2 linked regions of the Macaca mulatta genome follow. Each later gene encodes a partner of the first gene's protein in a complex. Links are inferred from orthologs where the notes say so. Each region holds a gene or a part of one and is shown on either strand. Other genes may lie near its edges. The genes, in order: CDK5R1 and CDK5.

Region 1 (4,495 bases):
GCCTTCCTCTTCTGAGTTCCCCTAACAGCTGCTGTGGATGTTCTGAAGGGCTGTGGACAAAGTTGTCCTCTGGGTACAGAGCAATGGACTTTCCACTGTATGCCTGCCCCCTAAGGTTCCTAAAGCCTGGAATTCCCATTGACAGAAATTTCTGAGTGGCACATAAACAAAATCCAGCACTTTCTGCCGTGATTGCAGCATTTTGAATGATGTCAGATTCCCATTCTGTTCCCCCTAGGGCAGTTGACAGGGCTGGTGCAGGGTGAAAGCCTAGTGGGCCAGAGTGGTCAGGTAATTGGGTGTCATCCTCTCCTCTGGAGTGCCACTACATCATCTCTAGGTCCAGAGATGATCTGGATTAAGACAGGGCTTAAGTCTCCTGTTTCCCAGGTTTGTGGTCAGTTTTGACTCAATCTCCAGAAACAAGGTAAAATAGTAAATGAACAACGGCCTTTGTGAAGGATCTGGATTCACATCCGACAGGAACAGCTCTTTGAGAACCAGAATTTTACTCAATTTCGCTAGCATCAAGTTCTTAAATTATACATACTTAGAACTGAAAACGTTTAAGAGGGTCAGAAAGCTGGCCAGAGGGGCAGTTGCTTCAGCTTTAATACAACAAAGAGGGCGAGTGGGAACTTCGAGGTCATATTTGTGACGGGCTCAGGCTTGGCTCTTGGTGGCCCGGAACTGCTACGGGCCACGCTTCTCTGGCTTGGATTTCTGAGGCCCACTCGGGCCACGGGCATCTACCCCGGGATGAGGGAACGGAGGCCCCAGAAGGGTGGCCAGAAACGATGGGACTGTCCACTCGAGGTGCGCCTGGCACTTGGGAGGTCTCAGTAAAGGCTTCGCCTCTCCCCGCCCAGGGCCTTCTTTCCCGCGCTCCCTGGCTGCTTTCCACAGGGACGGGGATGTCAGGTGGAAGGAGGGAGCTACCGGCCCTGGCCTCGGCGGAGGGCTCCTCACCAGGGCCCGGGCGGCAGCCTCCGAGAGGGCGGGCCGCGCGCTGCCAGGGCAGGACTCGGCCGAGAGCGCCCCCGCGGCCGGCAGCTGCGGGCGCCGCGGCGGGAACAAAGACAGCACGTGTCTGGGCGGGGCGCGGGCGGGGTCGGCCCTCAGCCCCGCCCTGCTCGGCGCCCGCCGAGCGTCAGCAGAGTTGGGCTGCGCGGGCGCCCGGGACTCTCAGGCGGCCGGGCTGCTGTTGGGCGGCGGCGCGGAGCCGGCGGCGAGCTGTGCGGGAGGGGCGGTCCCGAGGGGCGGGGCGGGCCGGCGCCGCGTGTCCCGCCGCCGCCGCCGAGTCCGGCTCCTAGATGGGGCCCGGTGCGTAGAGGTGCCTCCCGCTCGTCGCCGCGTCCTACCTGCACCGTGCGCGGCTCGAGCTGAGGACATCAACGGCCGCAACTCCCCGGCGAGACCAGGCCGGCGCGTGGACTGCGCGCGCGCCCCGCGAGGGAGGGCGCTGAGGCGCGCGCCGGGAGCGGGAGCGGGAGCGCGGCGGCGGCGGCAGCGGCGGCGGCGAAGGTGCGGGCGGCCGAGCCGGGGGGCGGGGCCGCGGCGCCTGCAGAACCTTGGACAGAAGCTGCCGAGCCGCAGCCGCCGCCGCCGCCGCCGTCGCCGCCGCCGAGCGCGGGCACAGCCGATCCCCGCCGAGCGCTCCCGAGCGCCGGGACCGCGGCGGCAGAGCCGCGGCGCGCATTGCGGAGGGCGCGGAGCGCAGGAGCTGCCGCCTGCCGGGTAAGCCTGCGCTGGGCGGCCGTCCTTGGCCCAGAGGAGCCGGGCCCGGGTCGCGCCCGTGCGGGGTGTCCAGGCGGGGGTCTTCGTCCGCCTCCGTCGGCGCCCGGGCCCCTCCCAGCTGCGCTTGGGGACCGCAGCGGCGGCGGCGGGCGGGGGTGCTGCAGTGGAGGCGGCGAGGCTGCGGCGCGGGGGCGCGGGGCCGCGGGTAGGGCCCGGGACTGGGGCCGCGGGGTCCGCGGAGGCGCGGGGCGGAGGGGCGCGGCGCGGAGCCCAGCTTGGCGCTAAGAACCATCTTGTTTTCCAGGCAGATCCAAGGGGGCAGCACGCTTCCCGGGAGCGCCCCCGCCTCCTCCCCGGGGCCACCGCAGGCTCCGTGAGTGGTTTTATCCCTCCGGCCGGCAGGCTGGGCGCGCAGGGGCGCGAGCCCCCGCCCGGCGCGCAGCGGCACCATGGGCACGGTGCTGTCCCTGTCCCCCAGCTACCGGAAGGCCACGCTGTTTGAGGATGGCGCGGCCACCGTGGGCCACTATACGGCCGTACAGAACAGCAAGAACGCCAAGGACAAGAACCTGAAGCGCCACTCCATCATCTCCGTGCTGCCTTGGAAGAGAATCGTGGCCGTGTCGGCCAAGAAGAAGAACTCCAAGAAGGTGCAGCCCAACAGCAGCTACCAGAACAACATCACGCACCTCAACAATGAGAACCTGAAGAAGTCGCTGTCGTGCGCCAACCTGTCCACATTCGCCCAGCCCCCACCGGCCCAGCCGCCCGCACCCCCGGCCAGCCAGCTCTCGGGCTCCCAGACCGGGGGCTCCTCCTCGGTCAAGAAAGCCCCTCACCCTGCCGTCACCTCCGCAGGGACGCCCAAACGGGTCATCGTCCAGGCGTCCACCAGCGAGCTGCTGCGCTGCCTGGGTGAGTTTCTCTGCCGCCGGTGCTACCGCCTGAAGCACCTGTCCCCCACGGACCCCGTGCTCTGGCTGCGCAGCGTGGACCGCTCGCTGCTTCTGCAGGGCTGGCAGGACCAGGGCTTCATCACGCCGGCCAACGTGGTCTTCCTCTACATGCTCTGCAGGGATGTTATCTCCTCCGAGGTGGGCTCGGATCACGAGCTCCAGGCCGTCCTGCTGACGTGCCTGTACCTCTCCTACTCCTACATGGGCAACGAGATCTCCTACCCGCTCAAGCCCTTCCTGGTGGAGAGCTGCAAGGAGGCCTTTTGGGACCGTTGCCTCTCTGTCATCAACCTCATGAGCTCAAAGATGCTGCAGATAAATGCCGACCCACACTACTTCACACAGGTCTTCTCCGACCTGAAGAACGAGAGCAGCCAGGAGGACAAGAAACGGCTCCTCCTAGGCCTGGATCGGTGAGCACTGTAGCCTGCGCCATGGCTCAAGGATTCAATGCATTTTTAAAAATTTATTATTAAATCAGTTTTGTGTACAGTATGTGTCTAGCAAAGCCACCAAGGGCCTCACCTTTCCCACAGTCTCTCCCTGGGGTTTTTTCAGCCCTGCCAAGAACTCTGGGCACTTTTGAACTCACGAGCCTTGCGCAAAACCCAGAAGATGTATTCGGAGCCACCCAGGCCACTGACCTCCCACTTTGGGGAACTCAAAGAACTGACCTGCCCCTGCCGCCTGTGCCCTTGCTGGGTCCAGGGTAGGCGAGGCTGCCGGCTGCACCCTGTATGGCGCTAGAGAGGGGACTCTGGCTGCCTGACCCAGGGAGGAATTGGGGTTTCTGGTTGGAGGCCCTTTTCTGGCTCCTGTGTGGAGTTACTCGCTCTCCCAGAGGCTCCTGGAGCCATCCACCCTAACTGAGCTGCCAGTGGGGTCATGAGGCAGGATCCCCGCTGCGCTGGGACATCTTCAATCTAGGCGAGGCGAAGCTGAGCAGGTCTAGTGGAAAGACTGTGTCTGGTCGTTTGACCACACACCGCCCTGATTTGCTGTTTTCTTTTTTAGGGAGAAGGGCTTTCCTTTAGTGGAGAAATGGAACTCGCCCGTTGCCCCCTTGTCTGCTGCTCACAGCCGCATTGCTGGTATTGGCCGATGAGCTGCTTTGACTCGTTACTTTTTCTCATTTTGGGTCCCAGCTAAAGAGGTGGGGTGAAGCTGGAGACGACTTTCCTGGGTGAATTTTTCTTTTGAATAATGCAGTGCAGTCGCCCTGTGGCAAATGCCAGGACAGCTGCAGGTGCCCATTAGCAACGCCTGCCTTCTGGGCAAGGTGAGGGATGCCATACCTTGAGACCAAGCCGGTGCCCACCTAAGGGCTAAGGCCTCTTGCTGGTGCACATGACATTTGTCCTGCAGAGCTGGGGGGAAGGCGATGTGGTGGCCCCACCCCCACCCCTGTTAATTTAAAGCTGTTTCCAAACAGTTGAGTTTCTTCTAAAGAGGAAGACTTGCCCTACAGGGACCAGTGAGACAGCTGGATCTTGGAGACAATTACAAGACGGGAGTGAGACTCCTGATTGCTCTGGAAGCCTGCTGATTTCTACAACTGATCATTTGCCGCTGCTGGTTTTGGTTTCCACCTTCCCCTACTGGCTGTAAAAACACAAATGTGTACTTTATTGATTTTCTTTCTCATTCTCCCGTATTGGTGGCTTGGGACTTGGGAGAGGGAGCAAGCCTTCCTCCATGGCCCGTCACTCTGCTGTGGAGAACAAAGACCAATGTGAAGACGCTACAGAGGATTCTGTCTTCCAGGCCCAGTCCCCCCGGGAGTGCTGGAATGGGGACCTGGG
Region 2 (4,355 bases), on another chromosome or scaffold:
TGGCTCCATTACGGCACCTCTGGGTGGAAAGGAGCCCGCCTCACGCTACGGATCCCAGGCAGTAAAACGCAGGCACAAGGAAATTCGGAGAAGTCGAAACATAAACGTATCGGGATTGAGATTCTCTTGCGGCCCCCCTCCCAAATAACCCCCGTGCCTCCAAGAAAGCCCCTGAGGGACGGTGGCGAGCAGGTGAGAAGGGTGACAGCGGCTGGAAGCTGGCTGCCCAGTACCCTGAGCTGATCTGGGAGAGGGCAACTTGTTAGGGGCTCCCCACTTCCTGAGAGGGACAGAGATTCGCTATGGTGGCCTCCTTCCTCTTGAATGGAACCTCCACACTGAATCGAACCCTAGTCATAGTCATCACTTATCATTCAAGACCTGTGTGTAGTTCTTGTTTGCCCAACGAAATCACAAAGTCTTCCAGATAAGGAATGTACTTTTCGCTTCTTTTCTCTTGTGTATGCAAAAGCATTCAGATAGAAACGAGTTAATTAACACGTGTTTGGCAGTAACTCTGGTTCCGGTGCCGAGGAGTGCTGTTTGGGATCCTTTTCCCTCGGTCCGTAGCCCTCAAGAATGCAATCATGAGACAATTAGAGAGGCAGCGCAAGGGAATCTATAATCAACTCCTTTAAGGGATGAGGTAGAGGCTGCTGCAAGTTGAGCATCGGTCTGTGGTCTTGTCTGTGGAGGGGGTTAACCAACCTGCCGGCCACACCCTGGCTGACTCCAGTGGGCCCCGTTCCGGAGACTGGGGTCTGGGGGGACCTCCAGGGCTCCACCCAGCTTTTCTCAGCATGTCAGAGTTCAGCGGCTGGAGTCGGGTGGGCTCCGAGACAACAAACGGGGCCCAGCAGAGAGAGGGGTCTTTGGCGTGTGTCCCTCCACTAAAATCCAGCCTCAAAGGGGCACAGCTGTTCTCTTCCCAGCCCTGCGGTCAGCTGTTCCCTGTGAGGTCATCATCGCTCACATGCATTCCCCAGTGAATCCTGGTGTCACTAGGTGGCTTGGGGAGAGGTGGAGGAAACCCGTGCTGAGGTCGTCAAGAGGCCGTTGGGAACTCAACGCCACCAACCAGGTCAGAGCTGGGCCGCCAAGGCTCGGGATCTAGGCCGCCAAACCCCAAACCCCTAACCGAGAGCGCTCCGCCCCCATCCCCGCTGCATTCTGGAACGCGTAGTCCCGGAGCAGCCCTTTTCAAGAAGGCTGGGAGCACATAAAAGGAATAACAACAGCGGGGCACGCTGGGAACCGCGGCGCCGCGGCGGGGCGCCCGGAAAACGGACACGCGTTGCTCCCTGGGACTTGAAGTCCAGGGTTTTGCCTCCGCGGTGGAACCGGAGCCCTGGAGTCGAGTGCTGCAGAGAGCGTGAGCGCAGACGGCTGGGGTTTGTAGTCTTCTTGTCCTCGGTCTCGGGCACTGCGGGGAGACCTTGTTGTCTTAGGACTACAAGCCCCAGAAGGTACTGCGCGGCCAGGCGGGGCGGGGCTGGAGGCTCGGGTGCCGCCTCCTCTGCAACGCCGGGGCCAGAGTCTTAAAACCGAGGGCCCGCAGGGGTCCCCGCGGCCGCCGCGATGCAGAAATACGAGAAACTGGAAAAGATTGGGGAAGGTAATGGAATCTCAAGATGTTCCTGCAAGAGCCCCTCTGCAGATCCTTCGGCATTCCTTGCAGCCCTGGCTCCGTTACCGTCAGCAATACCTACAGGCTCCGACCTCAGCAGCGGCTGCAGCCCTGGCCCCCGAGCTCAGCACTCCGTGCAGACACCAGTCTTCCCCGTGTTAGCATTTCCCGCAGGCTCTCACTCCAACCTTAGCGTTCCCAGTAGACCCGACCTCCCAACCGCGACACTTCCTGAATTTCTCACCCCAGCCTCAGCACCACTTGGACAACCTCACCCCGAGCCCCAGCCTCGGTTCTTGCTGCAGACCTCCAACCTCAATATTTCTGCAGCCCGTCAGTCCTCTCCCAGGCCCCTCCTCACCATTTCCAGACCCTTCCGGAGCACCGCCTTCATTTTAGACATCCTTGCCCTCGCAGCCGCACTCGCCCCTCCTGCTGAGCCCCTGGAGCCTCCGCGGGCACCTTCTCCTCCCTCCTCACCTGCCACATCCTCACTCACAAAGCTCACCCACCTACCTTCACCCTGAATCCCTTTCTTTGCATATTCAGACGCTGCCTTCACCTCCCGGGAGGCATTTCCTGGCTTAGGGAAGAGTGCCGCATCCTCCCCCTGACCCCTGACCTCCTTCCCCTAGGCACCTACGGAACAGTGTTCAAGGCCAAAAACCGGGAGACTCATGAGATCGTGGCTCTGAAACGGGTGAGGCTGGATGACGATGATGAGGTAGGACTGGGGACTGAGATAGGGCCTGGAGAGGGGGTTGAGGGCCTGGGCTGGGTGGGATCTGACTGCTGCCCACCCGGCCCCCTCACATATGCAGGGTGTGCCGAGTTCTGCCCTCCGGGAGATCTGCCTACTCAAGGAGCTCAAGCACAAGAACATCGTCAGGTGTGCGGGAGGCGGGTGCTCCTTGCCGGTGTGGCCGCTTGGGGGAGGCGGGGGCTGACACTGGACGTCTGTCAGGCAGACCTGCATGGCTGAGCCCTTCTTTTGCCCTAGGCTTCATGATGTCCTGCACAGTGACAAGAAGCTGACTTTGGTTTTTGAATTCTGTGACCAGGTGAAAGGCGGGGTTTGGGGGACAGTAGCCTTGGGAAGGTATAGGGGCCCAGACTGAGGTTAAACTCTGTCCCATTCCCCCACTCATATCCCTTTTCAGGACCTGAAGAAGTATTTTGATAGTTGCAATGGTGACCTTGATCCTGAGATTGTAAAGGTGAGGAGAGTGGTGTTGGGGGACCCCTCAGGCTGGGGTCAGAGTCTGCATTCAGTGTAAGCACTCCTTGGGCTCTAACTTTGGGCCCTGAACAGGGACGCTCTGGGATGTCAGAGAATGAGAAAACCCTGTTTCTGCCCTCTAGGAGCCTCCAGTCTTAGCAAACATTTTCACGTGGTCGTCTTTGACCCACACAGTGGCACTCTGACGTCAGTGATAGTATTTACATTCAGAGATGAGAAAATGAGGTTCAAGGAGATACACTCATTCATTCAATACATACTTACTGAATGCTTCACTGTGTGCCAGGTGCTCTTCTAGGCCCAAGACCAAATGTCTTGGTCCAGGTTCCAGGGGAGCCAGTCCTGAATGATACTACAGCATGATATTTATGTGCTGTAGTATCGTGTGCATACTCAGATGCCGCCAGGAAGGGAAGATCAGCATGGGCTAGGATCTAGGCGGGATCTAGGATCCACCTGGCAAGGCCCATTAGGCTATATGGTCCAGGAAGATGGGGACCAGGGCCAGTTTCTTCACTCTTGTCCCTCTAATGCCTAGTACAGTATAAAGCAGGTTCTGGATGGCGAATGAATGGTGTCACTCTGAACCAAGTGCTGAAAGGTGGGTGGGGTGGAGTGAAGCACAGGGTGAGGAGAGGAGCCACCCATTGCTGGGCACAGTTGCATGTTCAGGGCGTCTGACTCCCTTCTGCCTGCTCTCCTCCCAGTCATTCCTCTTCCAGCTACTGAAAGGCCTGGGATTCTGTCATAGCCGCAATGTGCTACACAGGGACCTGAAGCCCCAGAACCTGCTAATAAACAGGGTACTTCTTGGGAAGAAGGTGGGGAGTGGGAAGCCTGGGGCCAGGGCATGGGGAGCACGGAGGGAAGAGGACTGGGAGGATGGAGTCTGTGCTGTCCCAAGGCTGCCTAAAGGCCCTTCTCCATGTCCCCTTCCCATTCCCCTCAGAATGGGGAGCTGAAATTGGCTGATTTCGGCCTGGCTCGAGCCTTTGGGATCCCTGTCCGCTGTTACTCAGCTGAGGTGAGCTAGGAGATGGGATATGGGATTGGGGGAGGGAGTCCCTCAGCTCCAACCTCAGGACCCAAAACACTATTTTCCTCTCCTCTCTGAGCCTCCTCCTCAAACCTCCTCCCCAGCCCTCTAAGTGGGAGTCCCCTGTCGGGGGGCGGTCTCCTCCAGGTGGTCACACTGTGGTACCGCCCACCGGATGTCCTCTTTGGGGCCAAGCTGTACTCCACGTCCATCGACATGTGGTCAGCCGGCTGCATCTTTGCAGGTGACGTGCTGGGGCGCTCCAGAGGCACCTTCTTTCCCATTTGGGTTGACAAATAGGGTCTGAAGGGTTCCCTCTAGGGGAAGGGAGGGAGGCTCTGGGACTGGGGCTGGAAGGTCAGGGGGCACCTCAGAGTGAGGGGTCCTTCACATGTCACATCTTATCCCCCTATCTGCCCCCCAGAGCTGGCCAATGCTGGGCGGCCTCTTTT

What was found.
Region 2: the proteins of CDK5R1 (region 1) and CDK5 are in contact, whole or in part, in a crystal structure (PDB 3O0G), measured with the Homo sapiens proteins. The link is inferred for Macaca mulatta from reciprocal best matches to the Homo sapiens genes CDK5R1 and CDK5. Residues at the interface, in NP_003876.1 of Homo sapiens: Trp190, Gln193, Thr197, Pro198, Ala199, Phe203, Tyr231, Leu232, Ser235, Tyr236, Met237, Gly238, Asn239, Glu240, Ile241, Ser242, Tyr243, Pro244, Leu245, Lys254, Glu255, Trp258, Asp259, Cys261, Leu262, Ile265, Asn266, Ser269, Ser270, Met272; in NP_004926.1 of Homo sapiens: Leu37, Asp38, Glu42, Gly43, Pro45, Ser46, Ser47, Leu49, Arg50, Ile52, Cys53, Leu54, Lys56, Glu57, Val69, His71, Leu76, Arg120, Asn121, Val122, Leu147, Arg149, Ala150, Phe151, Gly152, Ile153, Pro154, Arg156, Cys157, Tyr158.

What each region holds. Positions count from the first base shown.
Region 1 is NC_133421.1:42,047,368-42,051,862, forward strand, and holds the start of CDK5R1 (cyclin-dependent kinase 5 activator 1), read left to right. Parts: upstream 1-1,659; 5' UTR 1,660-1,737; intron 1,738-2,041; 5' UTR 2,042-2,186; coding exon 2,187-3,110; 3' UTR 3,111-4,495. UniProt on the Homo sapiens protein: p35 is a neuron specific activator of CDK5. The complex p35/CDK5 is required for neurite outgrowth and cortical lamination. Involved in dendritic spine morphogenesis by mediating the EFNA1-EPHA4 signaling. Activator of TPKII.
Region 2 is NC_133408.1:190,485,701-190,490,055, reverse strand, and holds the start of CDK5 (cyclin-dependent kinase 5), read left to right. Parts: upstream 1-1,508; 5' UTR 1,509-1,578; coding exon 1,579-1,615; intron 1,616-2,262; coding exon 2,263-2,351; intron 2,352-2,448; coding exon 2,449-2,516; intron 2,517-2,627; coding exon 2,628-2,688; intron 2,689-2,787; coding exon 2,788-2,844; intron 2,845-3,574; coding exon 3,575-3,670; intron 3,671-3,816; coding exon 3,817-3,891; intron 3,892-4,050; coding exon 4,051-4,147; intron 4,148-4,327; coding exon 4,328-4,355. UniProt on the Homo sapiens protein: Proline-directed serine/threonine-protein kinase essential for neuronal cell cycle arrest and differentiation and may be involved in apoptotic cell death in neuronal diseases by triggering abortive cell cycle re-entry. Interacts with D1 and D3-type G1 cyclins.